Linked DNA regions of Drosophila melanogaster. The protein of the gene in region 4 interacts with the protein of the main gene of each other region in a pairwise test. Each region holds a gene or a part of one and is shown on either strand. Other genes may lie near its edges.

Evidence for each region.
Region 1: the proteins of EAChm (region 4) and Sod3 interact in a two-hybrid assay, tested with the Drosophila melanogaster proteins (one large-scale study listed by BioGRID).
Region 2: the proteins of EAChm (region 4) and CG7011 interact in a two-hybrid assay, tested with the Drosophila melanogaster proteins (one large-scale study listed by BioGRID).
Region 3: the proteins of EAChm (region 4) and Jon65Aiv interact in a two-hybrid assay, tested with the Drosophila melanogaster proteins (one large-scale study listed by BioGRID).

The regions. Positions count from the first base shown.
Region 1 is NT_033778.4:11,378,522-11,388,103, reverse strand, and holds Sod3 (superoxide dismutase 3), read left to right. Parts: upstream 1-3,989; 5' UTR 3,990-4,089; intron 4,090-5,028; exon of another isoform or gene 5,029-5,172; intron 5,173-5,786; 5' UTR 5,787-5,792; coding exon 5,793-5,855; intron 5,856-5,921; coding exon 5,922-6,149; intron 6,150-6,212; coding exon 6,213-6,441; intron 6,442-6,509; coding exon 6,510-6,531; coding exon of another isoform or gene 6,532-6,535; exon of another isoform or gene 6,536-7,075; coding exon 7,076-7,265; 3' UTR 7,266-7,310; coding exon of another isoform or gene 7,311-7,422; 3' UTR 7,423-7,655; downstream 7,656-9,582. Other genes in the region: CG30022 (uncharacterized protein), read left to right, coding at 1-104, 196-559, 614-732, 789-844; sprt (sprite), read left to right, coding at 1,038-1,441, 1,508-2,548, 2,662-3,043; Tsp47F (tetraspanin 47F), read left to right, coding at 9,077-9,139. UniProt on the Drosophila melanogaster protein: Protects the extracellular space from the toxic effects of reactive oxygen intermediates by converting superoxide radicals into hydrogen peroxide and oxygen.
Region 2 is NT_037436.4:15,158,931-15,167,356, reverse strand, and holds CG7011 (uncharacterized protein), read left to right. Parts: upstream 1-3,728; 5' UTR 3,729-3,861; coding exon 3,862-3,949; intron 3,950-4,018; coding exon 4,019-4,370; intron 4,371-4,519; coding exon 4,520-4,857; intron 4,858-4,886; exon of another isoform or gene 4,887-4,991; coding exon of another isoform or gene 4,992-5,100; intron 5,101-5,223; coding exon of another isoform or gene 5,224-5,354; exon of another isoform or gene 5,355-5,540; intron 5,541-5,984; coding exon 5,985-6,192; intron 6,193-6,218; exon of another isoform or gene 6,219-6,257; coding exon 6,258-6,393; 3' UTR 6,394-6,481; downstream 6,482-8,426. Other genes in the region: CG6878 (uncharacterized protein), read right to left, coding at 4,992-5,100, 5,224-5,354; Prp31 (Pre-mRNA processing factor 31), read right to left, coding at 6,505-6,840, 6,900-7,518, 7,581-8,032, 8,089-8,187.
Region 3 is NT_037436.4:6,035,562-6,042,232, reverse strand, and holds Jon65Aiv (jonah 65Aiv), read right to left. Parts: upstream 3,079-6,671; 5' UTR 3,038-3,078; coding exon 2,781-3,037; intron 2,704-2,780; coding exon 2,145-2,703; 3' UTR 2,098-2,144; downstream 1-2,097. Other genes in the region: CG6462 (uncharacterized protein), read right to left, coding at 4,163-5,122; yip7 (yippee interacting protein 7), read right to left, coding at 6,122-6,671.
Region 4 is NT_037436.4:15,050,813-15,057,443, forward strand, and holds EAChm (enhancer of acetyltransferase chameau), read left to right. Parts: upstream 1-3,964; 5' UTR 3,965-4,009; coding exon 4,010-4,645; 3' UTR 4,646-4,753; downstream 4,754-6,631. Other genes in the region: CG43679 (uncharacterized protein), read right to left, coding at 211-402; CG13461 (uncharacterized protein), read right to left, coding at 1,250-1,663; CG43680 (uncharacterized protein), read right to left, coding at 2,334-2,483; CG18649 (uncharacterized protein), read right to left, coding at 3,013-3,291.

The DNA.
Region 1 (9,582 bases), on a different chromosome or scaffold from region 4:
CGATCTAAAGAATGGTCAGGCCGTAATCATTGATCCTGTTTTGGAGCAGGCGAAACGAGATGCCCAGCTGGTCAAGGATCTGGGCTTCGAGTTGAAGTATGCCAGTAAGTTAGAGAGAGATCTCTATCTATGTATGGATAGATCATTGGATGATAATTTCATCATGACACTACAATATTTCCCCATTCCCCCAAGTCAACACACACATGCATGCGGATCACATAACGGGCAGTGGCTGGTTGAGGAAGTTAACTGGGTGTCAATCTGTGATTGCTGCCGCCAGTGGAGCCAAGGCGGATCGTCACCTGAATGAAGGGGATCGCATAGATTTCGGCACCCATGTGATTGATGCTCTGGCCACTCCGGGACACACAAATGGCTGCATGACCTATGTGATCAAGGATCAGGGTTGTGTCTTTACCGGAGATACTCTCCTGATACGAGGCTGTGGACGCACCGATTTCCAGGAAGGCTGCCCACGTAATCTCTACGAGAATGTGCACAGTAAGATCTTCACACTCCCGGAAAACTTTCGCATATATCCGGCGCACGACTATAAGTGAGTGGGATCTGGAATGCTATGTGATATCAATCTAATGGCGGTCATTTCCAGAGGTCAAATGGAAAGCAGTGTGTGGGAGGAGAAGCGGTATAACCCCAGACTGACTAAGGATATTGAAGAGTTTGTCAAAATCATGGAAAACCTAAATTTACCATATCCCAAGAAAATAGGTGGGGATGTGAACATATTACTATATGCGTCTTTTACTAAGTTTAATATCTTTTAGATGCCTCGCTGCCCGCCAATCGAGAGTGCGGGGTGTACGATATACCCAAGGAATAATTCCAACCCCTGCAAACACTATATACGCAGCTTATATAATAATGTTTCAAAGAGACTTGTAATCTTTTAAATAAATAATCATAATAATCTTATCACGATCAAGTTATGACAGCCTCATTTTACTCCCTGACTTCTGTGCTTAATAAGATAAACTTAAAAAACTCACTTCTTTGTTCGCCTTCTTTTGTTGCAGACCATTCTCAATCCGAAGGGTTGTGGCAGTGCCGTCAAGTACAGTCTGCACTCGACTGCAGAGACGAACCAGGAGACTGCCAGTACCACGACCACCTCTACCCATTGTTCCACAACTGGAAGAAGGCGCAAGGGTGGCTCCCTGGGCGGTACTCTCTCCTCGCGATCGACGCGCAGCGAATCCAAGGAATTGCGATCGGCTCTTCAGGATCGGGAGGCTGTCATCCAGAATCTGCGTATACAGCTTTGTCTGGGCAAACTGCCACGTCCCACGGGACCACCGCTGGATGAGTCCGAGAAGCCGGCGGCTGAGCAAAAACTAAACAGACTGAAGACGGAGGCGGAGAATAAGCGAATTAAGATCAAGAACCTGAAGAGTGCCCTGGAGAAGCTGGACATCACAGAGTGAGTAGAATGTTTTAATACTATTTAGCTTGAAGATATTTAATACTTACTTTATTTTATCCACAGCAACATAGACATCCGCATCCGTCAAGCCGAATTGGAATACGCACTCGGCAGAGAAGAACTCCAGATGCTCTCGATTGTGGAGGAGGCTCGCGCCTTGCAGGCACGTCTGGAAAAGTCCAAGCCCGAGGCGCAGACCCTCTACAACATCATCAGCTCTGGAGTCTCCCTGAGTCTGCACGCCGTGCATGCCACCTCGGGAAGATGGGCAGTTCAACAGAGGACAGACCAGCCGGGTTTCTACGTAGAATGGGCTTTAGAGGGTGATGGCTTGTACAAGGGCGATCGCATTTTGGAGATCAACGGACGACTGGTAACCGGAAAATCCAAGGAAGAGCTGCAGAAGCAAGTAGGAAACTCTGGCAAGTGTCAGATGGTTGTACTCCGCAAGAAGTCCGTACCTATACCACAAAAGCAACTAGACCAGGAGAAGGAGAACAACATGAGGCTGCAGCATCGCATATCGTACCTGGAAGAGCAGGTGCGAGAACTGCAGACAGTCAAGGAGCATCATCCATCGCAACAGCAGCAGCAGCAGCAGCAGCAACAGCAAAATCCACAGCAAAATCCACAGCAAAATCCACAGCAGACATCCTCCAATCAATCTCAGCATGTGACCAGCATCAGCATATCATCACCTCCATCAACACCGCCCGAGAAACCGTTGATCTTTCAGCGGGGCAACTATATTACCACTTTGGTGGGGGGCAAACCCATCGAGCTGATGGGTGACGACATGGCCTCGACACAAACCCCTCCCGGACATGTAACCAAAACACTGATCAAGGAGAATACCCACATCGATTTGAGAGATCGTCTGTCGCACATGTACTCCATGCCCTCCAAATCGCTGTCCGCCTCGAAGATCTCGATTAATAGCGATTCTGCCTATATGCAGCACCATCGACGTGATAAGGAGCGCCATCGCGATCGCCAGCACCGGGAACGCCCCAGAGATCCTCTCCAGCAACAGCAGCAACTGCATCGCGAACATCTCATGAGCACGCACGCACGCAGTGTAGAGCACCTGAATCATTACAATGGGTAGGTTATTCGCGATTCTTCGAGATTCTTGTGTAGATGTTCTAGCAAAGACAGGCTTTTTCATAGATTTAAATTTTCCTGACTAATCTCCCCGATCTTCTTCGCCATTCCAGACTGGATCGTCGCCGAGACACGCCCCGACAAAGTGAGTCGAACACACTTCGAGCCCGCCTGCCCAGCGATATGAGGAGTGTAAAATCCCTGGATTTCGATAGCGAAAACGAATCGAAGCCTGCGACTGAGACGCGTACCACTAGACCCACTCCGCCCAAGAAACCCCTCCGGCTATCGCTGCAACGAGCCCAAAGTCTGCAGACCGTGGAGCTGCACCCCTGTGCGGATATCGAACGAAAGCGGCCCATGAAGAGGGTCCACCACAACAACAACAACAACAACAAAGGTGGAGAATCACCGACTGGAGAGGGCCAGACCATGCTCATCGAGAACTGCAGTCCCATGCACACGGCTTCCCTCGGCAGGCACAAGCTCATCTAGAAACCCGATCCCAATCCAACCAAAACTAATTGTTAATCGAAGTAGCTTAATCCTCGACCGATCCTAACCGGCGGTTAAACCCAAAAAACAGGCGGACATGTGCAAAATTACAGTAGGCAATATAATTTTAACCAGCTCCCAAGTGGAAAGTTTCTTATTATGTAGTAGCAGTAGTATGTACTTACATTCTATATCTTGTATAAGTAGGGCTTGGCTATCAACATTTAGTATTGAGAGAATCAATAATTAAGAGTTTTTGTATGTACGATGATTTTATTAGCACAATTTACAAATGTGAATACACGAATATTTTCACCTACTTAAATGCGTTATTTATTTAAAAAATTCGATCCCGGCCTGCTATAAATGTGATGTAACTACAATTTCATGGCATCGGTTGGCATATCAGAAGCTATTACCTGGCAACTCATTTTCAAAGAATTTGTAGCAGTAGTTCTTCAAATTGCTTCGCCGTATCTGGAAAGCATGCCAATATTTACGACCTCCATTGTAGGCACGAGCCTGGCACATATTTTATGACGCCACAGTGATAAGGTATTCAAATGAAAAGCACGTTAGCGTGTTTCAGCTGCGCTTTTAGTAAGTTCAAAGAATTACTTAATAGCTATAATTTGGATATAATTAAAAAAAAGGCCGTTAATAGGATAATAAATATATCATCAGAGCTGGACAAAAGAATCTGATCAATCTGCAGTTGATAAAAAAAACTCAACGAGGGAGATAGAGCGATAGAGCGGTGAAGTAAGCCCGAGATAAACCTGAGAGCGGAACTCTCGCCTACGCGATCGTGCTGACCGCCAAATGCAATATCCGCCGCTCCACCTGGTGGCGCTCTCAATTCTCAATTCTGCGGTCTTCTTGCTCTCGCCAAATCTGCCCCAATGTTCTCTCAGCGAGTCGATTTGCGATGGCAATGCCAGAGGCTCGAAACAGTTCCGTCGCAGGTTTCCAACGGTACAGAGGTGCAATCGCTTAATTCTCGCAAAAAACAATCAGTACCCAATTATAAAATAGTTGCTAACAAGGTGAGTTTGCAACGGACGCGAAAAAAAAGAAGATCAAGGGCTAGTAATCGAGAATATTGGGTGAAGGTTAAGCTGAAGTTGAAGTTACTTGAGTTAATTGTAATTGTTAATTGTTCATAATTTATTGGTTTGCTTACATTTTAGAACCTGATTTAGATATATTACCCACAATTGCGTGTTACCAAAAAGAAACCAGTTACCGCAAAAACGGAGTTTACTTCACTGATTTTTGATTCTCTCATTCACTGTCCGCTCACCCTTGAGTGGGTTAAGGTAACCAGTTATTAATCCAGAAAAATGAGTGGGCAAAAATGCAGCACAGACCAGACACAAAATATTGTACATATCCATTACAATCCACACATTCCACGGCTTAAAACTTCAATAAACATTTAAATTCCCAATCGTGAACAGTTGGTTGAACAAGTGTTTACGATATTCTATCTTTTCATATATGTAAAATTATGGCTTGTTCTTATCTCAAAACTGCATAGCTTCGGCGTTTAAATTAGACGCGAAGTCTCTGTGTGTGAAATCAAGTAATCTTGGCTGTATTGTTTGCAAATTCACGAAGAGAGCCCTGCGATCAAATTGTTCAGATAAGCATCTTCATTAGCATATCGTTTCACGGTAAAACTCAAACTGAGTTATTATTTTCAAATCAATCATATTTAATCAGCAAGCAAGAGCCCTAATAAACCTTATTTGATGGACAAGCAGTGGCTATTAGTTGCAATTTGTGACCCATTTCGTGACAGTTTGAACCAGAATAAGTAAATACCTGGCAAAAAACAGATTAAAATACTTATACGTAATGACAATGGCATTTTTAGTTCCGAAATTCAGTCGCTCTACGAGCGTGAGAATCGTAAATTATGGGACCGATTCCAAGTGCAGATAAGGATACGTGTGTAGAGCAGGTACTGACCGCGTTTGAAGATCGTTTCAGAACTCGAGCGTGCAAGATCGCCAGCATATCGCAGACACATTGATAAGACCGTAAGGAAACCGGACCCATAAACAAATATTGCCCCGATAAAGTGTGACACCCATCCATTTCATTTGTGGAACTTTGGAAGCGAAGTGCGTACGAAAAAGAGATTGTTGATTGACCTTCCCGCAGCCGCACTTAACCCTGTGAAAAAGGCTGTTTGCATTTAGTTTCGTTTGGGTATCGCTCATTATTCACACACATAAATAATAATACCCGTTCGCACATCATATATGACCCACAAATCGTTTCATAAATTGAGGCTAGGCGCTTCAATTCCGCACACAACTGTCCGTTTAAATGGAATCAAGAGAATGTACACCTGATGACGTCCAAGCCAGAGATGAGCTGGAATTCAAGTGCCAGAGATGAGTTGGCATCACGGAATTTGAGATTACAAGACATAAACCCTCCTAGCATTTCCCAAAACTGAAAGTATTTGGTTCCAAATCATTTAAAGCTTTACTATAAAGCATTATATAAATAGTTTTGGAAGATGTTTTTAATATTGAGTCCATATCAATTATCGAAATTTCAGGATTATCATTTAGTTCATTTTTAGCTATGTCCAGTAGATCATCCCTGGTGGGATTTTCTCTGCTTGTGCCACTCAATTTAAAATTATTTATTTATAGACATTTAAACATTTCTAACATTTGCTATCCGAGTCGTACACGTGTCTAATTTAACTATGATTTCCTTGCAGTTCAAAATGATGCAATATCTTGTTGTTAGCCTGGCACTCTGTGCCACAATTTGCTCTGCTGCGCAGACGGTAAGATATATAATCTCGTTAATTTGAAAATCCACTTATAATTAGGACACTGAACTTACTTTGCAGCGCAATATGCCCATTCAAGCCATTGCCTATCTGATTGGACCCGTGCAATCGGATAATACCCAGGTCAAGGGCAACGTGACCTTTACGCAGAACGACTGTGGCCAGAATGTCCATGTGCGCGTCCAGCTGGAGGGATTGAAGGAGGGCAAGCACGGCTTCCACATTCACGAGAAGGGAGATCTGACCAATGGATGCATCAGCATGGGTGCTCACTATAACCCCGATAAGGTAGATGCGGGATTCTTTATAGGATTAGGTGTCTAAATCACTAATATAACTTTTATGTCTCAGGTTGATCACGGTGGCCCCGATCACGAGGTGCGTCATGTTGGCGATCTGGGCAACCTGGAGGCCAACTCCACGGGCATTATCGACGTTACATACACGGATCAGGTGATCACCTTAACTGGCAAGCTGGGGATCATTGGCAGGGGAGTTGTTGTCCACGAATTGGAGGATGATCTCGGTCTGGGCAACCACACGGATTCCAAGAAGACCGGCAATGCAGGCGGCCGCATTGGTAAGTAGTCAGTGTAAAATAATAAAATAATAATAATAATAAAATATTTGTTTTAAACCTTCTTTCAGCCTGTGGTGTTATTGGCATCAAGTAAATATCCCTTCCAACGTGTCAGCCAAATCAATATGCTGCTCGAATACTTTATGTGTAGTTGTGTAACTCCAGGCGTAGTAACTAATGAAATGTTTTCCCAATTTTCCCAATTCCCCCACCCACAATCACACTCACCCTTACATGTTTGGCTTACACATTTCCCTCAATTAATTGTCTCAGTTCACTGACTCACTCGATTTGCCGTGTGTGTGTTTGTGTGTAATAAAATCAACAAAAATTAACCGAAATCTAAGCTAAACATTAGCATACTCTGTACCACTTGTGTTCTACCACCTCATATTCATGGCCTAAACAAACTTTCGCGCTTTGCTGGGGTTGCTTTTCCGAGTGGGTAGGTATGACAGAGAGCCTTTTTACCTATCATTTTTACTAACATCATTAGCATTAGTCGGTCGGTCGGTCGGTCGGTCGGTCGGTCGGCGAAGAGAAGGGGATATTGGAATAACAACTGCCGCTGGAATCGGAACTTTACTGATCCAACCAGGGTTCAATCAAAAAACTCACATTGTATGTTTTCCAGTGGCCCATCTGTACCTGCACCTGCACCACCAACACCACGCCATCAGCCACTGTACTATGTGCCCCATGGGGAGCCACAAGATCATGTTGTCTATCCACTCCAGCACTATCCTTTGCCATACCCACACCCATATCCATATCCGCACCCATACCCCTATCCGTATCCGTTGTCGCACCAATTGTATCTGTGAGATCGCGAGACTACACCGTTCGCCTGTTCCACCTTCTAATTGCAGCTCGGATGTGGACGAGTGGCCATGTCGCGATGGTGGCGCCGGCGCCCTGCGCTACTCCTTCTCCATCCTGACCGTCATCGTGGCCCTCATCATGGCCCGCAGCCTTGACTAATCCGAAACATGCACCCGGATCGGATCGAATGCACGCATGTGGCATGGGATTGTTGGCCATCGTAGTGATCTGCATACCTACTTACACACTAACCACACAACCATGAGTCGCACACCACTACCAACAGTAATTATAATACTCCAGCATTATCCACCCAAATAGAGAAATCAAAGGAACTAACTAAGCTACTTGTAAAGTGTTTGAATTGATCGATAATAAAGTTTGTTATTTGTATTTCGGGTGCTTGCAATTTGTACGTGCTTAGATAGTAACAAAAGTTGCTGAAAATGAACGACAGATAAGGGTTAGCTCTAATTTTATAAAAAAGATTAGACAAAGTGTTTCCAATGGACTGTTAGAATTGCACATAAATCACAGTAGTAGTAAGTTATCAAGAGAATTAAATATAACTTCAATTTTGTATGTTGATTTCTAAGGACAAATAGCTGTTTGTTCCCTAAAATAGGTTACCAAATAAATGAACACTCAAAAAGTTGGTAGGAAAACTATATATAGAACTTCGACGTCACCAAAGCTTTTCCTACCCATACACCTTTATGTGGCTGCGAATGGGTCATATAACATTTAGTTGCCTTTGATTTGCTGAATTCCAGCTTAGAGCCACAATTTGCTTTAAATTGCGGAAGCCTTCAGAAAATATTTGTGCTCCAATCATTCAGAGAACTCCAATTCCCAGGGATTTTGATTCCAAGCCGCCGCAACTAATGGTCAAGCAACAGTTTTTGCTTTTATTTTTTCTAGATTTCTTCGACCAGATAGGCTCAGCCAGAGAATGGGTCAAACAGTGGGATTCTAGAAAACCTAGGGCCATAATTCCCGACACGCAACACTAACATCATCCGAAAGACTGTGGCATACTTCTGGGCGTCTTTAATTATTTCGCACAGTCCTCAGAGAAAGAGAAAGCATTTACAACTTTCTTTGCCGCGCACGAAAGCACGCAATTAATTTCGCCTTGGGCCCGGTCGAGTTCCAAGTGCTAAGTGCCGAACTTTAAAGGGAAACACATAGACGTGGGCGCACAGCTAAATTTTTATGGTAATAAGTGCAATGACCCACCCGGAATCCAGCTGGAGATGGCGAATGGAGCCGTGAGTGAGGCAAGTGAGGTAAGCCCCGGGCGACCCACAAAACGCAACCAATCGCCTCGCCTCGCCTCGCTGCTTTGGTCAAAGTTCTTTGGTATCGAATGCTAAATCAACAGTGAAATAAGCCAGCACGGAGTTCCAGCCCCTATAGTCCATATAGTCCGTCATAGGCCCATGCCCGATCCCTATTCCGATTCCAGCCTAATCATGCCTGGCCTAAATTCGAATCGGGCCTCCAAGACTTTCACTCGCTTTCGCTTTTGTTCCGCCGCTACCCATTGCTAGCCGTACCCCAACCGCAATCCGGATCCGTTGCCACCACCAACCCGGCAAGTGGCAAGTGGCCACAACAGAACCGGGCCCTTCTAAAGCCCAGCCGGACCGTCGCTCCGGTCAGTTCGCGGTTAAACTCCAGTGCGGTCAGTCGATTTGGGCCATCGCTCTGGATCACTAAGTCATATCACGCACCAAAGCGATTCTGTATTTGAATTGATCTAAAGTTGAAATAACTTGAATTAGTGCTTCGCCCCAAAAGGAATCTCAAAATGCGTTCTTGCGGTCCGAGTTTAATTAAATATGTCTTATTCGCATTTAATGTGCTGTTTGCGGTAAGTGCAAGTGATATGATATATGAGTAAAATATCTAAAGGATACTGAGAATATTATGCTAAATACAATACATTGCATCATACTGCAAATCACTTTGTTTCTAACAAATCATATGCCAATCAAATTGACTTATTGATATTAATTTCAAAAAAGAATCATAAAATTTTATGAAATGACATAACTATTTTCTGGGAATTTTCGAGGTGCAAACTGTTACTGCAATTATGAAAACGGATTGAACCGTCCAAACGTAACATTCTACCAGATTTATTTTTGCTCGTAATTAGTTCTAATTCGCCATAAGCACTATAATTACGCTTGTGCTTGGAGTCTTGTTCGCCTGCCTCATTTAGATAAGTATCGCTGGAAAATGGCACTCTCACTCACGGAAAATCGGATAATCGGATAATGTTCAAACGCGATGGCCTGTAACGACATGCGA
Region 2 (8,426 bases), 110 kb from region 4:
CCAGCACAAATGCTTGTAAATGCCTAAAAATTTGACATGTTCTCAATATTTTATGAATTACTTTATATTCTTTTAAGCGGAAACTCGTTGCCATCATTTTAAATTTGCATATTACATTTACAACCCCTTTGCATCCTCATTAAAGATGTCGATTAAGTGTGAGTCCTATTGTTCGTAATGCGCCCCTAATTATAACACATTGCAATGCAATTAATAGGCGCGACAATTAAAAGTAACGAGCGATGAAAATCAATATGGATGTTCATAAGTGACAAGTAACCGATTTGCATCAATAATGCCAAATGAAGAGCGAACGATTTCGAAACGCTTTCGAAACTTTTGTCGGCAGAAAGGATTTGGCATTCTAAACCAGTAAATATGCTTAAAACGAATGGCCAACTATTTGAAATTGTCCAATGCAGGAGTTCGTGGCCCAGTTAGTACAGACTGAACTAATTTGTCGGAAATGACATTTTTTGGTTATTCAGCCAACGGATGTGGACTTTATGTATGTGAATTTTCACAGCCCATTTATAGCAATTTTCGGGTGGCAAAGCACCAAATTTGATGGCCGATTTGAGTGACAGGAGACCGGAGCACGAGTCGCCGAATATTTTAAGTCTTTGCGCGACGCTTTTCCAAAATGACGCCTGCTAATTTAATTAATTCCCACCTGGCCCGATGGCAGAAAAGTTTAGTCCTGCCGCAGGAAGCAGCTCGCAGCTCTCAGCTCCCAAAAAACCCCCAAACCCAATCGCCCATCAGCAATACACGTAATTGAAACATTCCTTGACCAGCGAAATTATAAAGGAGTCGCCCGAAAAAGGAAAAAACTTACTTCTGCCGCAATTATTTGGCACGTCTCCACTAATTAATTACGCCTTTTGGCTCCACGTCCTTTTTTGGGTGGCTCAGTGGTTCGCTCGGCTGTTCCAAGTTGAAAATGTCCACGTTTAATTAAATATGGCTCGGCTGCGGCGGCTCTATAATTAATTTCGGCACTGCAATTTTGTTTAAAGCAAAGAATGCGGCCCAGGCAAAAAAAAAAAAATATATGTTTGTGCCACGGCGAGCTGAAAACCGAACCGAATTAGAGCAGGACATCTGCACGGATGGATACAGCCTCCCGCGCGGGGATTCCCCCAATCCAATATCAATTTGAAATCTACACGGAGGGAAAATTGCGCCCTTTTAGTTTGATTTAGTATGAGCTAATTAAATTTTCACTTGCATTTCAAAATATAGTTTACAATAAATCTTAAAGCGTCTTATAATTGTTTATTTCATTTAGTTTTTTAATTTACTTCAAAATGTGATAGTGCTATCTATTTATACTATAGATACGTAAGTAAGTACAAAAAGCAAGTTCCTCTTGAATATTATTATGAATAATAGCACTTCCTTGACTATGGGAAGGAAAAAGTGAATTTGAGTTAGCGTGTCAGTAGATTAATATGTACCTAATTGTGTATCTATGTGCCTTGCATTTAAATTTAAATAATGAAGATGGTTTTTTCGCAGTGCGTATTCGAAATCGGAATCAGAGCCTGGGTTGGTGGCCAGGGCATTAAAGTGTCAATATCCATTAGGCAGTCCTGATTGTTTAAGCTGCTTTACGCCAACTTCTCTTCTGGCTTTCTTTACCCATTCTCCGGCTCCGGGTTCCAAGTTTCTTGACACGCTCTCTTCTCGCTCTTTTTTTTTAGCCCGGTTCTTTTGTCTCCGGAGTCTTTTATTGCCGGCAAAGCCGTAGCACAATGACTCCTTCTCCGCTATTTGTTCTGGCTGATGTTGGGCTCATTGTTTCAAATAAGAAATGACGCGAATTGGCTAGAGCGAAATGGTTAGAAATGCAAATTAGCGGGAGATAAGAGTGGGCGTGGTCGAGGGAAATGGCCATGGCAGAAAACCCGAATGCCCTGTGGCCATAAGTTGCGCAAATATAAGAGGATATACTAGGAAAAAGGGCTATGAACTTGTCAGTCGGCGAAGCCAAGGGATAAATATTTTTGAGACATTTTCAAATCCAATTTAAAAGTGACCCATAAAAGGACTAAGAACTTTGTGGCAATTTTTTAGAAAGGATAGATTCAAAAATTGAGTTTATATCTCGAAGTATATGTCACTTTTAAATTTTGCTTAAGGCCTAAATAAAAAAAACTTTATTTGAAAATGTGTAAGGTCAAAGTCAAGCTGTTATATATTAAAAATCCATGGTATCATTGTTTATTATTTATACATACATATTACATATTACATATTCACATATTTACATATTTACATATTTATACATACAGTTACACATTGTTAAAACTGACACTTCCACTTTTTTATGAACTTTCCCAGATCCAAAGCGTGATGCTCTATTCCATACCCTTTCCAATCCATTTACTTTAATTTAGAAAGTAAAAAAAGTGTAAAATTACCGCTGGCTAATCTTTGTCATCTGCTGCCTTGCCTGATTTTACAGATTTCTTGTCCAGGTAATTGCAAAAAAAAAGTGAAGTCGGCGAAAGAAATGACAAAGGAAACTGTAGAGTGGCCAGGAAAATGAGAAAGCATCGGGAACTTGAGCTTAATTGGTAATTACACAAAGTCGCGGTATGTTCTACACCTACATACAATTATTTGTGACCCTACATGGATGCTGGGTTCATGGACCTTCAATCAGTCGGGCGAAAAGCCATTTGGTGATTTATATTTAGGCGAAAACTTTTAACTTTAACCAAAATCCCCGGGGATAAACCACGGTCTTCTATTAGTCCGCTTCTTTGAAAGGGGTTTGTGGGGTGTGGGGGTTGCAACCCCTAAAAGCTAAGCATTAGCTGCGCGGGCTGTCGAAACTTGTGGTTCCTTTCAATTAACCTTTCATCTGTTTAACATGTATTATAAAATTAGACGCGGTCTCCTGGACCACAGCAGCAGCAGTGGGTTAAGGCGTCTGAGTGGGGGGGTGGTGTTATTGCCGATGGTGGGCAATGGCGGCCTAATGTATGCACAACCACAACCCCAAGACATGACAACACTATTAAACATTATTCGTGGCCATGGGAAAGGACGGCCAAGCGGAGGTCCTAATTGTCGCCGGGCCAACGCGGCGTATGCGCAATCAATGGGGTAAAGCTCCGGCTAATGAAGGATGAAATCAAAAAATCGCCTAAGTAAAAGTTAAAGCTTATATAAATGTAAGGCTTGACATTGGATTTTTTTAAATCATTGCTTATAGTCAGTGAGGGTATTTTGTATTCGTTAATAAACAGTAAATGTAAAGTGTGTATCAAAATCAATACCACCAGACGAATCAAATTTTGGGAACTATAAGAGCTAAATTTTAACATTAAATAATCATGCAGTTTCAGCAAAACTTTGCTTAAAATAAAAACATTTTTATAACCTTTATAATTTTAAATTGTATTTTTTTGAAATGTAATAATTGGCATGCATGTTGCTATTGTAATGCAATGTAAGATCTAATCATAAGTTTCTATGTTAATAAGATAAGCACTTAAATAAGCGTTTTATATTGTGTCAATGGCATTTACCTCTTATAAACGGATAAAATAGTTTTAAGATTTCTTGATGTGGCCCATTTATTTTTAAAACTGCATACTTATCTACAATTACTGCATCTCGCCCGATTTTTAACATGTAAAATGCGACATGTAAAGTAAGAGCTGGCATGTAGATACGGATACGATAACAGTCAATCGAACCGAACCACAGCGAACATCTGTTTGGCCGTACCATTGCGGCGTACTGGCAACGCCAATTTCAACACGTCACCTGTCTTGTGCAAAAACGATGTAATATTTATTGTTTACGTCTGCATTTCGTCTGTTTTGTTCCTTTTACGTGTTCACGATGAAGTTCGCCGACGTGCTGCGTCGCCTGGACGCCTATCCCCGCACACTGGATGACTTCAGCGTTCGCACAGTGGGCGGCGCCGCAGGTGGGTGCAGGTGTACAATTGATTGTGGCGTTAAGGAACCCAAACAACCGGCTTTTCTCTGATTTTCAGTTACAATTATCAGTACCAGCATCATAAGCCTACTGATCTTCCTCGAGGTCCTCAACTACATGCAGCCAACCCTAAATGAAGAGCTCTTCGTGGACACCACTCGTGATCACAAGTTGAGAATAAATCTGGACGTGACACTGCATAATCTGGCGTGCAACTACATCTCATTGGACGCAATGGATTCATCTGGCGACACACACTTGAGGGTGGACCACGACGTCTTTAAGCACCGGCTGGATCTCAATGGCGAGCCCCTCAAGGAGACGCCCATCAAGGAAATCGTTGCAGTTTCGCCGCCCAATAAGAATGTCACTTGCGGCAGTTGTTACGGAGCGGAGCACAATGCTACTCAGTAAGATAGTGAACAGCTTCTAAGTTCAACCATTAGTTCCACCTATTTTCGCTGACAAGATTTATCTAAGGAGATATCTGTATCTAGAGCTAATTATAGCAATGGCTTTCTAATCTCCCCCTTTTAATACCAACTACCATCCTATCTAGCTGCTGCAACACGTGCGAGGATGTTCTCGACGCCTACCGGCTGCGCAAATGGACCGTGGCCGTGGACAAGATCGAGCAATGTAAGGGCAAGTACAAACGCAGCGACGAGGACGCCTTCAAGGAGGGCTGTCGCATCCAGGGTCACCTGGAAGTGAATCGAATGGCCGGCAGCTTTCACTTTGCGCCCGGCAAGAGCTTCTCCATCCGCCAGTTCCACATCCATGACTTTCAGTTCAGCAATGTGAAGCTATCGCACACAATCAATCACCTATCGTTCGGCGAGAAGATAGAGTTCGCCAAGACGCATCCCTTGGATGGACTACGAGTCGACGTGGCTGGTGAGTAGTGAACACAAACACGGACTCGTAATTCTGTAACATCTCTATTGCAATAACTTAGCGTAATTTAAACAAGATTGGAGTAGGGCTTAAGGTTGTGGTTGTTTAGTAACTCTAGTCAAATGCCAGCAGGATCAGCAGCGAATCCCCGTGCCGATGGCCATAAAGGTGCCAAAGGTTCCGCCGCCCTGGACCATGGTCTTGCCCACGTTGTTGATCAGCTCCCGCCCGCGTAGTCCGTATCTAAAGTGTATTTCAATGTGGTTCGTTAGTTAGCCGGAGTAATTACATAATTGCCGGCCTCCACTTGCGTCACTTCTTTGGAGGAGCGCTAAGTGGAGCATCCGAGTGCAAAGTCCAACTAACCTGAGCGCCGAGAACCCGCCAAAGACCGCACCGCTGGCCATGCCCACGCAGAATCCGATGATGAAGCCCGTCTTCATCTTATCGAAGCACGTTGGTCCCTGCTGGGAAAATGAGCTCGTAGGCAGAGGCATGCCGCTAAGTCCGTGGTTTTCCTGGTTCACCGGCTCTATATGAGTTGATACCGCTGAGTAGCAAGCTCCGCTGCTCCGACGCACTTATGAATCTCGCAGAAGGTTCGTTTATTTTAGGAATATTCAAAATATTTCTATTTATTTCGGCACCGACTAGTCGAATAATTCGTAAACGTGTGAGTGTGAGCAGCTGAGTGATGGTGTGCGTGAGCTGTCAAATTATAGAAGGGTTGCCACTTTGTTTTTCGCTCGGCTTGCCTCGTTCTAGAGAAAGCCGATAGGGGGCGGTAGCTAAAAAGCGGGTGCTTTAAAATCAATTTATATTCTTTATTTATTAATATTATTAAAAAGCATACTTAAGACTGAAATAAAAAAAAACTAAGTTATTTAAGCACAGGCATCCATTTTAATTTATATTTTACTCCTCGAAGAATTTCTGGGAAACTTCGGAGGTCTGTTGTGTGGGGCATTTTCATTTTTTAAATTGGAAAAAATATACTCATTTGTTCGAATTGTGAAATACCTGTTTTTAGAAGCATGAAGTTTAATTCGTAATTACCTTACCAAATTAAATACATTTATCAACGACAAATGAAGTAAACTAGAAAATCTGCTCTCCTCTTTTTGCAGAAACCAAAAGTGAAATGTTCAATTACTATTTAAAAATTGTTCCCACATTATATATGCGAGGAAACAGCGACGGCGAGCCCATATACACGAATCAATTCTCCGTCACGCGATACCGAAAAGATCTTTCAGATCGCGAGCGCGGAATGCCGGGGATATTCTTCAGCTACGAGCTCTCGCCACTGATGGTGAAATATGCGGAGAGACACAGGTCAGTAAGCCACAAAGCTAATGGTTAATTTTACAAGTTTTATTGGTTGTGTTGTGTATTCCCAGCTCATTTGGCCACTTCGCCACGAATTGCTGTTCCATCATCGGAGGCGTGTTCACGGTGGCCGGCATTCTCGCCGTGCTGCTGAACAACTCGTGGGAGGCCATTCAACGGAAACTGGAAGTCGGCAAGCTCAGCTAACAACAATTCGAATCTCTTATGCAGCTTTACTACGCCTAACTCAATATACATTCGACAAATCTCCAAATAAAAGTGCTTAATTTTATAGAAAATAAGGATAGAGCTGTTCTCTTAAGTGGTCCGCTGTCCCACTGACATGAATCCGGATGTGTTTGAAAAGTATTTGGCATTGGCCTCCGTCTGCGAACGCTCCGCCGCCTGCGGATTCACAATCTCTAGACCTTGCAGTGGCGTAAAGGCCACACTGGATGCCGTTCCGGAGATTTGGCGTTTGACCGTGGTGTTGCCGCCGTACACCTGCTGTTTCTGCAGATTCTTGTGCAACGTTTTGCTAATGCGCACCTTGGTCTTCTCATCCACCTGGGGCAATCGGATGCGGCCGGTGCCAGTTTTGCCGATGGTGCCGCGTGAATAGCCCAGATCTCCTTGGTAGGCATCCTCTTCGATCTGAAAGAAAAGTTCAAAGATTAATACATAACCATTATATTTTTAAGCCAGAAACTTACGTCTCCGAAATTCATGCGGTTCGCTTGCTTGCGGAACTCTGTCAGCGCATATCGTTCCTTCATCTTGCGCACGCGTTTGCCTCCTCGCTTCTTCTTGCTTCCCTCGATGGGTTTGGGCAGCGGCTTTATGAACTTCACCGGCGGCGGCTCCTGCAGCTTGTCCAGCTTCTTTTCCACATCCTCCTTGAAGCGCAGTCCAATCTCCCCGTGGACACTCTCATGACAGGCATCAACACGAGCAGCCAGCACGGACTTGGCGGCCACCAAGCGAGCTGCCTTGCGTCGCAGATCTGGCGCAGTATCCTGCACAATCTGTGAGTAGTACACATAGCCAGTGTGCGGCAACATCTGCGTTTGTGAGAAGCCCGAGAGGGTTTTCTTTTGTGCACCCAACACCTGAACATTGCAGGCCGGCATTTTGGATAATTTGGAAAGGCCACCAGCAATGCCCAAGAGTTTAGCCGCCGTCGATGCTCCAACAATCATGGAAAGATTTGGGGCTATGAAGGTCATGCGACTTTCCACATACTCGTAGATCTTGGACTTGAAGTTATTCAGTTCGATGGCCATTTCGCAGGCCTCGTCGATCTTTGCCTTCTCCGCCGGTGTCAGCATGGTTCTGCGAAAGGGAATGGGATTCAGTGACATGTTATTTTGGGTTACACCGTTCAAATAACTTACCCCTGTGTGGTGGACGCCGTGACTGACACAATCATAATGGTGGCCTGCGTGAGAATAGCCTGCAGCTTCTCGTTATTTTTGACCTGGTCCAGGTCGTTGCCCAGCTCCTTGACCGCCAGCAAGTACTCGATTTCACCCACGATCAGGGAGTCCAATTCGGGGAATCGCTTCTGATACTTCTCCTTGGTGAACTTGTGCACAATGGAGATCTCGTTGTCAATGTCCACAGCTATGGCATTAGCGTCCACGATGAGGCAGTACTCTGGATCGGATTCTACGGATCCCAGCATTTCGGCTGCAGTTCTCTGGCGACTGGCATAGTGCTCGATCTGCTGCAGCGTGTTCTTCAGGCGCTCAGAGTCGCGCAGCTTGCACAGTTCCCGCACCGACTGCACGGTTACATCCACGTCCATCAGATTGGGAGCCGGCTTAGCCAGCTTCTCCGCCAGCAACTGTTTTGTGGGAGGGGAATCATTAGGTCTGATCAACATTTGCTTTGGTTCCTTACGCTCTCGTCCTCTGCACTGGCCATCTCCGAATCCTCCTCCTCCAGCTCATTGTCATTGTCTTCCTCGAGATCGGCTAAAAGCTCATCGGCTAGCGACATTTTGGCTTATTTCAAAAGTTTATTTTGCGATCTCGTGAAATTAAGTTTGTTTTGGAATTGAAGTGACCGTTGCTCAGCCGCCTTAGAATACCATGCGGTTCATTGAAAAAATACTAAGTATTAGCATGAAATATATAGGGTATTCATTTAAAGAATACCATAAGGCTATTCCACTGGATTTTAATTGATCAATTTGACCAAATTCAATAAACATTTCATGAACAGAACGATCCAATATC
Region 3 (6,671 bases), 9.0 Mb from region 4:
CTTACCAATGCTCTCAAACAAGAGGAAAAAAAACAGCCAACGTTCATATATCGAGCAACTCTCTCCCACCAGCACTAAGTACCCTCTTTGGAGAGCTCACAGAAACCTAAAGACTCCAATAGCGCCAATTATGCCACTACGAAGTCCCTCTGGCACCTGGTTTCGAAGTGATGAAGAACGAGCCAGTGCTTTCGCTGACCATTTACAAAATGTATTCCGACCAAACCCCTCTACCAACACATTTATTCTCCCTCCTTTAATAGCAGCCAATCTAGATCCTCAAGAACCCTTTGAATTCCGACCATGTGAACTAGCAAAGGTTATCAAAGAGCAACTGAACCCAAGAAAATCGCCTGGCTACGACCTAATAACTCCAAGAATGCTCATTGAACTCCCAAAGTGTGCTATTCTTCACATCTGCCTGTTGTTCAACGCAATCGCCAAGCTTGGATACTTCCCTCAAAAATGGAAAAAGTCGACCATAGTAATGATTCCAAAGCCAGGAAAAGATAAAACGCAGCCATCATCATATAGACCGATAAGCTTACTAACATGTCTTTCAAAGCTGTTTGAAAAAATGCTACTCCTTCGGATTAGCCCTCATCTTAGAATAAACAACACACTTCCAACACATCAATTTGGCTTTAGAGAAAAACATGGAACCATCGAACAGGTCAACCGAATCACGTCAGAAATTCGTACTGCTTTTGAACATCGAGAATACTGCACAGCCATTTTTCTAGACGTCGCGCAGGCATTTGACAGAGTGTGGCTCGATGGACTTTTGTTTAAAATAATCAAGCTGTTGCCCCAAAACACACATAAGCTACTGAAGTCATACCTATATAACAGAGTGTTTGCAATAAGATGCGATACAAGCACTTCACGCGATTGCGCAATCGAAGCTGGAGTGCCGCAAGGCAGTGTACTGGGTCCAATCTTATACACCCTGTATACGGCGGATTTCCCCATAGACTACAATCTAACAACCTCCACGTTCGCTGATGATACCGCGATACTCAGTCGCTCGAAATGCCCAATAAAAGCCACGGCACTCCTATCCCGACACTTAACATCTGTAGAACGATGGCTTGCCGACTGGAGAATTTCAATAAATGTTCAAAAATGCAAGCAGGTTACCTTTACCTTAAACAAACAAACATGCCCACCACTGGTCTTGAATAACATATGCATTCCACAAGCCGACGAGGTAACATATCTGGGAGTTCATCTGGACAGGCGGCTCACTTGGCGCAAACATATAGAAGCCAAATCGAAACATCTTAAACTTAAAGCAAGGAACCTCCACTGGCTCATAAATGCTCGCTCTCCACTTAGTCTGGAGTTCAAAGCTCTTCTATACAACTCCGTCTTAAAACCTATCTGGACTTATGGCTCCGAGCTGTGGGGCAACGCATCCAGAAGTAACATAGACATTATTCAGCGAGCACAGTCAAGAATTCTGAGAATTATCACTGGAGCGCCGTGGTACCTTCGGAACGAAAACATACACAGAGACCTAAAAATCAAATTAGTAATCGAAGTAATAGCTGAGAAAAAAACGAAGTATAACGAAAAGCTGACCACCCATACAAATCCCCTCGCAAGAAAACTAATCCGAGTATGCAGTCAAAGCCGGCTGCACCGCAACGACCTCCCAGCCCAGCAATAAACTTATTAGGGCATTAATGAAAAAAAAAAACTATCACTAAGTGAAAGTTAATTAAGTTAGATTAAGATTTGAACACTTATTGTTAGTCTCTTAACACAAAGGGAAGATTCAATAAATAATAAAAATTAATAAAAAAAAAAAAAAATTGTGTCGCTTGGCAATTTAATGAATTTTAATGAGAACTTACTCGCCGAATGCCAGTAACAGCTTGGTTCTGCATTCATTTTCATTTGTCTGTTTTGTGATGATTTTTGATTTTAGACAAAAGCATATGTACAAGACGATATGGATTGTTACTATAACCGACGACCCTCAAACTGGGAACATAAGTTCTCTTTTGATCTATATTGAGTAAAGAAATTTATAAATGAAGATCTACGTTTCCGAAATTCCCCCTATAGAGCTATAAAACTTTTGAATTTTTTAGAAATGATTTTTATTTTTAAGCGAAATTGTAGTTCCTGACTCCTTCCTAGATGCCAGTGTTAGTCTTGATCCAGTCCAGGTAGCTGGTCACACGAGTGAAGGCAGCGGGGTAGCCCTTCTCGCAACCGGCAGAGGCACCGAATGAGGTCAGACCGATCTGCTCGCTGGACGACTTGAGGACCAGAGGACCGCCGGAGTCACCGTTGCAGGTGGACTTGGCGTCGGTGGTGGCCACGCAGAGGGTTGAGTCGGTCACGACCGAGGTGCCGTAGGTTTGGGCGCACTTGGTGTTGGTGATCACAGTCAGGTCGACATACTGAAGATTGGTAGCCACACCACTGGAGGTGTCACTGGTGCGTCCCCATCCGGAGGCGACAGCGACGTCACCGACGAAGGTCGAGTAGGAGTTGGAGATGCTTGGCAGCTTGACGGCGGAGATCCTGCTGCTGGAGGAGGTGGCGGGGATCTTGATCAGGGAGATGTCGTTGCGCAGGTTAGCGCTGTTCCAGCCGGAGTGGATGATGATGTCGGAGCTGGACACGGTGTGGGTGATCTCGGCGGAGGTGCGCACGGTGGCGCCCAAGTAGACGGTCACGGACTGAACTCTGCGATAAATCAAACATACAATTGGTTAGGACATTGGTTCCAAGATATTTTCGGCATTCCTTCAAGGGACACTCACCCATCGGTACAGTGAGCAGCGGTCAGGACCCAGGTGCTGCCGATCAGAGAACCACCGCACCAGGCGCTGGACAGAGCACTCAGCTTCAGGGAAAGTCCCACCTGGTAGGGGAACTGGCCGACGGCGGCGTTGCTTCCTCCGGTGATGCGACCTCCAATGTCGCCAACGACGGGCATCTCGCGGCTGCGATGGCGCAGCTCCGGCTCGGGGAAAGCGGAGGCGGCCACAGCCAGGGCAAGGATGATCAGGAACTTCATCTTGGGAATTGTTGCTTGTTCAGTTAAGGGAACTCAACTGTTTGGCCAAGGACCAGCTGGGGTCTTTTATACTGGCCAAGTCGCGTCTGCGATTGGGTTGCAATTCAGAAATAGAGCTGTCCCGATTAGATAGGACCACTAAAGTCGGTTCGAACTACCTTATCTGTTGAGATTTTGTGCCGAAGATATGAATGAATGAACTTCAGCCACACGGTCGCCAAAATTACTTTCCCAATCCAAGAGTATTAATCCCGATACGGATCTAATCAGGGCTATGGGCTTCGAGTGGATTTCCAGATCGAGCCGCTGCGATACCAAAGGCCTAGCATGGGGTTGCTAATTAATTTGATTAGTTTTACACATACGCGATATATACATAACTATATATTGCGATACAAAATTGGCAAAGGTTTGCTTTGCTCTTCAGCGTATCTTATAATTCCCATGGTAGTCGAGTGCTATCTTATCTCCTGTCTATAGGGTGAGAAGCCGTAAGCCCACAGTTTAGTTGGGTTTGTTTACCTTCGATAAAGGTCAAGGAGTAGGACGTGAGTTGGTCAAGACTGCTTAAACTTCATAGGAAATCATACCGCCGTCTAACAATTGCGTATCTGGACTCTCTCTTTGATTACAAACACGCAAATTTCAGTTGTTTTCGCAACCGCAGCCTTCTTTATCAGCGAAAGCCGCGTGATTTTATGACGCGTTCAACCGACCACATCACTGCGGTTAATAGCCAATTCAGATGGCCAATTGAAGGCGATTAGCGGGAGGAGGCGCTGCGGTCTGTACCCAATATGCCCTCACCAAAAACGGACACTCAACCCAATGATTTCAATTTCAGTGGCGATTCATCAGCAATTTCCATGGCAATGTAATTTTTCTTTTGTGCCCTTATTGAGCTCCCCAAATTGACTTGCTCTTCTGCAATGCCGAAATGTTTATTGTTATTTATCGGTAACAATTTTCATTCAAGAGAAAACAACCACACATAAAATGGACCATTTGCACCTTCCTTTCTCGACAGAAGAACCTGTTTTGGTTTCATTGCTCAAATTGGTTTTATTGTCTGGGCCGACTATATTGTTTAGCAATTAATGGGCTGCAATTAGGCGTTAATTGCATTTAGTTGGTCATTGCCGTTTGCTGTCGGATCCATGGCAAATATGCGGTTATCCTGGTGTAGACAGTGGGACCCCCCACCTCGCATCCTTCGGCACTGCCGAACGAGGTGACCCCAATCAGGTAGCTAACATTGCGCCAGTGGTACACAACGGGGCCACCGGAGTCGCCATTGCAGGCACCACGTCCATTGCTTCCATCGGTGCACAGGTGACGTCGCTGGCTAACCAATCCTGGCAGGAAATAGCAGATGCAGCGTTCCTGATCGATCACCTCCGCATCTAAGTACTGGAGGAGTCGCGTCCGTTTGTCGGTTGAATCTCCCAAGTAACCCCAGCCAGATAGGGTCACCACTTTGCCTACCAGAAAGTTTTGATGCATGAACTCCCCAGCCAACTCAATGGGTTGCACTTGTTCTGAAGTTCTGACTTTTCTTGGCAGTCGTATTAAAGCCAAGTCACTATATCCTCCAAATCCCAAGTAATCAGGATAAATAATGAAATCTCTATGCGTGACTTGTAACTCCTCCACGGAGTCTTCTACATCGGCAAATACGGTGGCGCCCGTGTATATCTTTGCAGCTATGGCATCGGTCAGACAATGGGCTGCAGTCAAAACAAATTGAAGAGTGATAAGGGAACCACCGCACTTGACCAGATCTGCGCCACTCAGCTGAATCACCAGACCCACTTGATAGGGAAACATGCCGCGCGTGGCCAATTCTCCTCCAGCTATTCGAGTTCTCACAGCAGCGGTTTGATTACCTTCCATCTCGAATTTTTCGCAGCGAAGTCGAAAGTTTTCGTAGCCAAGCTGCCAACGTCTTTCCATGATTGCATCGTCATCGTCCGGTGTCTCCTCTTTGGGGTGCTCAAAAGTATCTAGCCAAGGCTCACTTGATTTAACTAGTGTGGATGATAGAAGTAGCAGGAAGAAAGCACTTGTAGCCTGGTATTGCGCCATTTTATCACTACGGAATTGAAAAAATAATATGGGGAATACCTGTTATTGCATTCTATACTATATCTTTTAAATGTAATATTTCCTTTTTCTGACCAAATTCATAGAATACCCCCCGCCCCCCCCCCCCCCTTAAATATGTGAATAGGAAACTCTATTCATTATGTTGAATGAAATTTATGAATGAATTGCCTTTTTATTTACATATATTATATATATAGCTGATGTTCCTCGTAATGAGTTAGTCCAAGTTCAGGTCTGAGTGGGCTCTTCACGTGAAGTACTGGGCTTGTTGTTGTATTTGCTGGTGTTTTTATAGTCAGCGATTGTGGCATCGACATTGCGTCATCGACTTGGATGCGGCACGTGTCCGCATCGTTTGTTAATTGAATTTGCTTGGGCCGAGTGCAAATTATACGGAGACGGGAGGAGCAGCAGATGTTTGGCATTCAATTCCTCCAGCTACCGTGTAATTGCCGCACGTTTTGGCGATTATGTTGCTTAGGCTAGGCCTTCGTCTCCCTTTGGCATACTGCAGTTTCCTTAATTGCTTTCGAACCCCCCATTTTCCCGGGTCCTCAATTGCACGATTTCAGTCTTAGCCCCCAACATTGGCCAGAATGTCTGGGTCGGGGTCTCTGTATTTATTGACTGTCGTTTTATCAACGCTTAGTTTATTATTTGTTTAATTTACTGCACACCTTCGCCTGCATTTCGACACATGAAAGGCCATTGATAATTTTCCTGGAGTTGAATGGCTGTGGGGTTTTACAATCCAAGGCCCCGATTTCGTCACCGATCATAAAGTACCCACTTTGGCGATATCAAAAGCCAGAAGTGTATTAAGTTAGTCTATAAGAGTTATTATGAAATCTGATTCATTAAACGGTAAGAGAGTAGATCTCAATCTCTAGACATTATTTAAAAGTCTAACATGTGTAAAATCATGATTACAGTTTTATTTATAATATTTTGCAGTTTTCATATTTCATACTTCAACACTTAGATACCGGAAGTTTCCTTGATCCAATCGCGATAGTAAGTGATACGGGTGAAAGCAGCTGGTGCGCCAGACTCGCAACCATCAGCGGATCCAAAGGAGGTGGCACCGATGAGGACACCATCGAGAGCCAATGGGCCGCCGGAATCACCCTGGCAGGTGGAGGCCTTGTTGGTGGTGTCAACGCAGAGGACCCTGCTGGTCACGATCAGGCTTCCGAAGGTTTCCTGGCATTTGGAGTTGGAGATGATGGTAAGGTCCACGTACTGCAGATCGCGAGACACGGCGGTGGCTTGGTCGGAGGTGAGACCCCATCCGGAGGCAACAGCGGTCTTTCCCTCGTAGGTGGAGTAGCTGTTGGAGACGGCGGGCAGGCTGATCTTGTTCACGGTAGCCGAGAAGGACACGGACGAAGTCTGGATCAGGGAGATGTCGTTGCGGATGGTCAAAGCCAGGTAGCTTTCGTGCTGCCTAAACTTTGAGCTGCTGACGACTTGGGTGAACTCGGGGCTAGTACGGACAGTGGCACCGTAGTAGATGGTCACGGAGGCG
Region 4 (6,631 bases):
CGTACAACATTCAGCTATTTATAGGAAAAGTCTCGCAAATTTTGGCCGATTCGTAGAATCTACTACGAAATCTTTATTTACGCTTTGGTATTTGAACAATTGTCTCAATGGAAAGTTTTACAAGCGTATTTTTGGAGATATTTTTTTTTTTAGACAACAACAAAGGTTCGTTGTGGGGTTTCACAATTAATTTCTTTCCGTAGTTCATTGTCACGGAGTGGGGGGAGTGTTTAAAATGACTGGACCGATTCCACCCCACTTAGGCCATCTGGGGACAGGACGAATAGTCGATCGGTTACTGGATCCTGATCCTTCTTCAGTGCTACTGTTCGCATATGGATGTGCCATCACAGTGGAAATGGCCAGGAAAGCGACGAGAGCAATAATTCCTAAATAACGCATCTTAATCCACTTGAATTTCTCCGGTAACTACACCTTTCTCCTATCAACTGCACATTTTATATAAAAAACGGAATGTTTCTTCTTATTCAGAAAAATTTTACCTGCCAAGCTGTGCAATCTGTAGATTGCCATATATGTACAAAAGTAAATATTGCAGTTTTATCTGCCAACTCTTCCGTCACCTGACGATGTAAGTGAACTACAATTTAAGAGATATATTTAGGAACTGAGAGGCATATATCATAAGCAGCTTTCTTTGCACTAAAAATAACTTGAAAATATATAAATTCTGTAGCACGAAATTATTCAAATTCCCCATATAATCATTGTTGCTATAATATCACTGGGAATGGCAGTCAAAAACTTTAGAGATATATTGTTTTACAATAAAATAGCCGTAAAAATTGCTAAAGCAATTCTGTAACACGGGATTTTAACGAAAATACTTGGGGTTATGACATACAGCTTATCTTGTGTTATGGTACTTTAAATGAAATAATTTACTTTAACTATATATATAATATCAGCATATTAGCAAAATCAAATTATTTAAAATCTTGTGGCCAGATTTTAAATACCAAAGACTGTTATTTAACTGACATTTAAGCATACATTTTTTTAAAAACTGATGGTATGAAAGCGTATTCATTCTATATAATTTTTTTAACTGTGTAGACAAGCCCCTCAAGCTAAACAAATTCTGCAAAAAGTATTATATACTTTGTGGCGTTTTTTCATATCGATCGACATATATAGCTTTAATTTATTTACTGTTTTATTTGTTGTATAATTTTAAAGCATTTTGTCTAATGTTTATTGTTAATGGATATTTTAAAAACACGTGTTATTAATCGAGGAAAAGGGGCCTTGCTTGGATGAGAAGAGGTCCGAATGGTCGAATCTGGTTGTTGGGTGGAGCATCCTGCTCCTGATCGCCTTCTGAATCGTTATTATTATCCGATTCGGTATTATCATCAGACCCGTTGTTATCTTCCTCATCATCTCCGCTTGATTCATTATCTGACTCCTCCTGATTATCCTCGCTATTTTCATCATCCTGGTTATCCACATTTCCAGAATCTTGACTTTCTTCAACAGCAGGTTCTTCCTCGGCAGCATCGGAGTTTCCCTCGCCATCATTACTGGACGAATCCTCATTGGTGTTATCCTGGATGGAGGACTCCTCATCCTCAGCTGGCCGTGCAGCCACAAGACCAACAGCCAAAAAGGCCACAAGAGCAACGACAATTAGGAATCGCATTTTTTTGTGTTCTTGTGCTCAGCGAAGTTTTAAACTGATTTGAAACTTTACTCGATCAATCGCTTTTTATATTAAATGCCTTTTTTTGTTATTTGAACGAGTCATTTACGAATTTCATATTTGAACAAATGCTTATCCCATTATTGCGTGGTGACGCACAATCTTAATTGATATTATTCTGGGAATTGTCCAGAATTGTTTTGAGTAAGTGGGTTCGTTGTGCTTGCCTCTATTCTGATTAACAGGTATCTAATAGTCGTGGCACTTGACTATAGCGACCTCTGTTTTTATTTTGTCATATTTATTACACACTCGCATGCAATCATTGAATTAAAAAGATAGTGAATGGTTTTTGGCCTTTTTAAAACATTAGATACAAATTTTCTTACCTTCATTACTATTTACTTCGCCTAAAGGATTTTCATTTCCGTCGTGGTAATATGTGCTAATATAAAGCAAAATAAAAAATCTGATATCTCCAAATCGAACTTCAAAACGTTTATTGATTTCATTTAACTTATAAAGACCAAAAAACGTATTTAAAAGTTTTACCCTGAATAAGTTTTATTTTTATTTTCTTTATTGGTGATTTATCAGTTGCTCATTTCATATTTTGTGTTTGAGAAATTGCATCGGGGGAGAATTTCTAAATATTTTTGTATTTTCGAATTTAAGCCGCTGATGTTGTAGAGCACCAGTCAACTGGGGCTTTTGGGTTGACAATAACGATAACTTCTCCACTTGGATGGGGAAGTGGGCTTGCACTCACAAAGGCCATGGCCAAAAGAGCAATTATCACGAGTACCATCAGAAAGTGCATCTCTATTTCGTAGACTTAGTTCTTCTTTGAATAAGTTTTTTCAAAGTACTGCACTTCTTATATATGAATGCCGTGTTTGCTTTAAAATTTCTATTGCAAACTGCACAATGGCTGCACCTTACTAATGTTAAGTAAATATTTGAGAGATAAAACATTTATTGATCTATTGAGCCACACATTACAGGCAGAAAATTATTTCTTTTTCCCTGCGCTGAAATAAGAGTATTAAGAGTGGCTTTGAGGCCAATTAATTAAATAAAAATTGCATTTTTAAGATTTTGTTTAGTATGTAATTCTTTACAAAATCATTTAAGAGCTGTATAAAAAGAAGTTAAGTAAAAAGCACCAATTATGATGGGTGTTTCCAGAAATGTGTGTATTTACTAGAATAACATAAAAACCTTTACTTATTTGGTTGTTGAAGATGAACTGTGTATTTCTGTGTAAACAGTTGTTTAAACGTCTAACGACCGGTGAAAGCGTGTAGATAAAGACAATAAAGAATAGAAAGGGTTAATTCCCATTAGAGCTACTCTTCATCTTGATTGTACTGGATGCTCTCGTCGCTTTCGGAATCATCATTGTTCTGGGAATCGTCCTCCGGGGATTCAGGCTCATCTAAGTCGTCGTCGGACTCGGGTTCATTTGAATCCTCATCGTCTTTCTCATCATCGTTAGCATTATCCTGCTCATCAGCAATTCGTTTGTCCTCCTCGAGGTCCTCCAAGTCGTCAATGTCCACCGGATTTGCGGAAACTGTGGCCAAAAGCACACATCCAAACAGGGCAAGCAGCAAATAGGCACGCATTGTATTGTCAAATTTAGTTTTCAACTAAGTTCAGTTCCACATTGAAAATACGCTTTTATAGCAAAATCTCTAAATTGGCAGAAAAATAAAAGCGCGCATTGTGACAATTTATTTGGTTCGTTTTGTGTTTACCCCGCGACAGCTGTTGCCTTGGTTTGAGCGTCAAAAAATGAGGCAAAGTCGTGCGTAAACATTTGACTGACGGAACTTGGAGAACGTATAAAGATTACAGTGAAACGTGGCTAACGTCATACTTTTATATACAATATATTGTATAACCTAAGGAAAGCAAACACAGCATGTTATAATCCATAGTTAACTTGCTTATGAAAATGTCTATATCAAATTAATGACTCCTTTTTATTTCTTTGTAGAATAACCACTGTTCCACCTACAATTGTTTACAAATTTTGGGAATGGCCCTCCATATTCTTATTTTCTGATTCATAGCACATTAGCTTGTTTTGCTCCGCTTACTCGAAACTTCTTAATATTTACTCACATGTTCGGTGTCGTATTTGTGGTAAGCCAAAAACAATAACTACTTCTAACTAAATATATCGTAGGCCATGATGGAACCTTGACGATTGTTAGCATAATGTAATCATGTCACAATAAATCGATCGATTTGGACAACTTTTTAAAGATATAAAAACAAAGATAAGCTAATTGAAAATCATAGTCTCAGTTGCACTCAGCCTGTATACTTTTGATAATCATGCAATCCATAGCATTTGCTCTTCTGATCTTTGCCGGTATCCTTGCCTATGGCAATGCAGCTCCCCAGATGAATTTGGGTTGGCTGCAGGCCGTCCTGGCAGAGGCTGGTCAAAGGAATACGACGGTTAAGTTTGGAAACAACACGGTGATCATTACGGGAGTGTCCAATTCCGTTGCCAACAGCAACCAGGGAAATACTACCCCATCGTCACCACGTAACCAATGGAACAACAATTGGTATCCGTACTATAACAACGGTTACTATCGCATCATGCCCACCATCAATGGTCAGATTGTCGAGGGTCCACAGTCCAGTGCAGAGGAATCCCACGAGATTTCCCAAGAGTTTTCTCATGAGATTTCCCAGAGTGACGAGGAATCTGGCGAAGATCAATACCACCAGGAGGATCAAACTGAAGAGGACGAAGACGACAACGAAACAGATCTTTCAGAGGACCAGCTTGATGACCTAGAAGAGGATCAGCTCGATAAAGAGAAAGAGTTGGAAGATGGCCATGACCAATCCGAGGAAGACAACGAAAATGAGGATGAACTGATCGATCCCGAGGAAGATGCTATTGACCAGGTTCTAGATGACATCGAAAAAGAGATAGCCGCTAGGGAAAATGAATAGGCACTGAGCCTTATTGAAAGTTTTCATAAAAAACCACTCCACTACATGTTACATTATTTTCATTTCATATTTTTGGGATCAGTCATTTATAAAAATAAACAGTTTATTAAAAAAATGGATTTTTATTTGAAGCATATTTTTAGACGAACGATATAAAATTCTTTTTAAAATAACGCAAATTTTAAATTTCCATAAATTGTTTAGAATTGAAGAAAACGTAATATGTTTTTCCAATAATTTTCTGTGACAAATTAAATGTTCTTAAAGAAGCCGCAATCATAAAATTTCAGCTTAAGTTGCTTATTTGCGTGGGGCAACTGGAAAAACGTAATGATGTTTAGTTGAATGCACAATCTGTGAAAAAATCTAGGAAAGTGAAAGCAGTTCGTGTTGGAACATCCAGATGCCATTGGAGGGAGCCCAAGGACGAGGACAGCCATTGACGACTTGTGCGCAATTGTAAACAGTTCCTGGAGGCGGTTAAAAGGGAAGAAATGTTGCCAACGAAGGAGTCAACAAGAAGGATAAAGGTAAAAGTGGCAACGGCAGTCAGGTGCTCGTCGAACATAGGCGAATTGCATTATAATGCGGCGCGTGTTAGTAATTTTTAATGCTGACAATGAGATTATAGATTTACCCAGAACGGATAAAGACATTCAATTTCTTTTTTTTTGCATTGGGTTACACTAGGCCATATCTTTTACGATACCAAAAATTGTGAGCGTGGCACCGCCCCTTATATTTAATTTTGTTACCAAAATATCTTTAAGGTAAAACCAAATATTCGGGATCAATTTTTGACCGAGTGAAAAAAGTTTTTGCAATGTTTTTTAATCTGTCCTCATTATCACCAAATACTGAATGAGCTATTGAGATTTTATATATATCCAGTATTGTCTGAGAGGTTTGGTTTTATCTTTTATATGTTAATTGCGCTGTTTTGTTACTTTTACTGCATTGTATTGATTCATTGTATTGTCTTCTCTCTTGTACGTTTACTAGCAGCAGAGCACCAAATCTTAAACATTTCCGCATTAGAGAACCTGAAGTTGCACATTAAGATTACATTCAAAAGAACAAGAATTCAATTACCTACAACACAGTATATATATTATAGTGAAGTTGGGTGCAGTTCATGTTTAAATCTCTAGTTAAACATTAGTTATTGTTTCAGCGAATACACCTAAAAGCGCAATTTACAACATTATTAATTTAAAAGTGATTGTGTTGTTTTTAAACAAGCGATTGTGCGCACGGCACTCCGAACAGCTGTTTTAAACAGCTAATATCTTAACCGTGCGGAATATTTTTTTTTTCTGGTACGCAACACTAAAGTCTAATCTTATAAACTTATTAATCAAAACTTAGTATTACGGACTTTTGCAAAATGGCTTCTTGGCCACAAAAGGATGGTACCTTTTAGCCTATAGTGCGATGGTCGAGAGGGTTTTGGCCATGTTTCCATATCGCCCATTTGCCTACGCCCAACTCAATGCCAATCAATGTCACGCACACAGATGCTCACTCACACGGAGACGGCCACAAGACTCATTCGTAGGGACTTTCACGCACGCATTCCCCTGACAGGCGTCCGTAAGGACTTAATCATAATTTGATTCAAGTTCGACTCGGCCTCGTGCCACTGAAGGAAATTGTAGCATACATTTCAGCGCGCTAAAAATAGACTCCCCAAGAATTTGCTCCCCTGGGGTAGCTTACGAATTTAAGGCCAACCTGACATAATTGGCATACTTTTTCAATTATGTGGCTTTCTTACTTAATTGAAGAATTTTCATTGGCCTCGATAAGATTTAGAGGAAACCTAAAAATTCTGCATGAATAATAACAGAAGACTTTTAATTATAAACATATATTTGTCTAAGCAATAGAATAGAATTCTATAAGGATGGCTACATAATTTATGTTAAATTCATGTAAAATAATTGTGTATAAAATAATTCCAATGATATTGGTATTTAATGGATT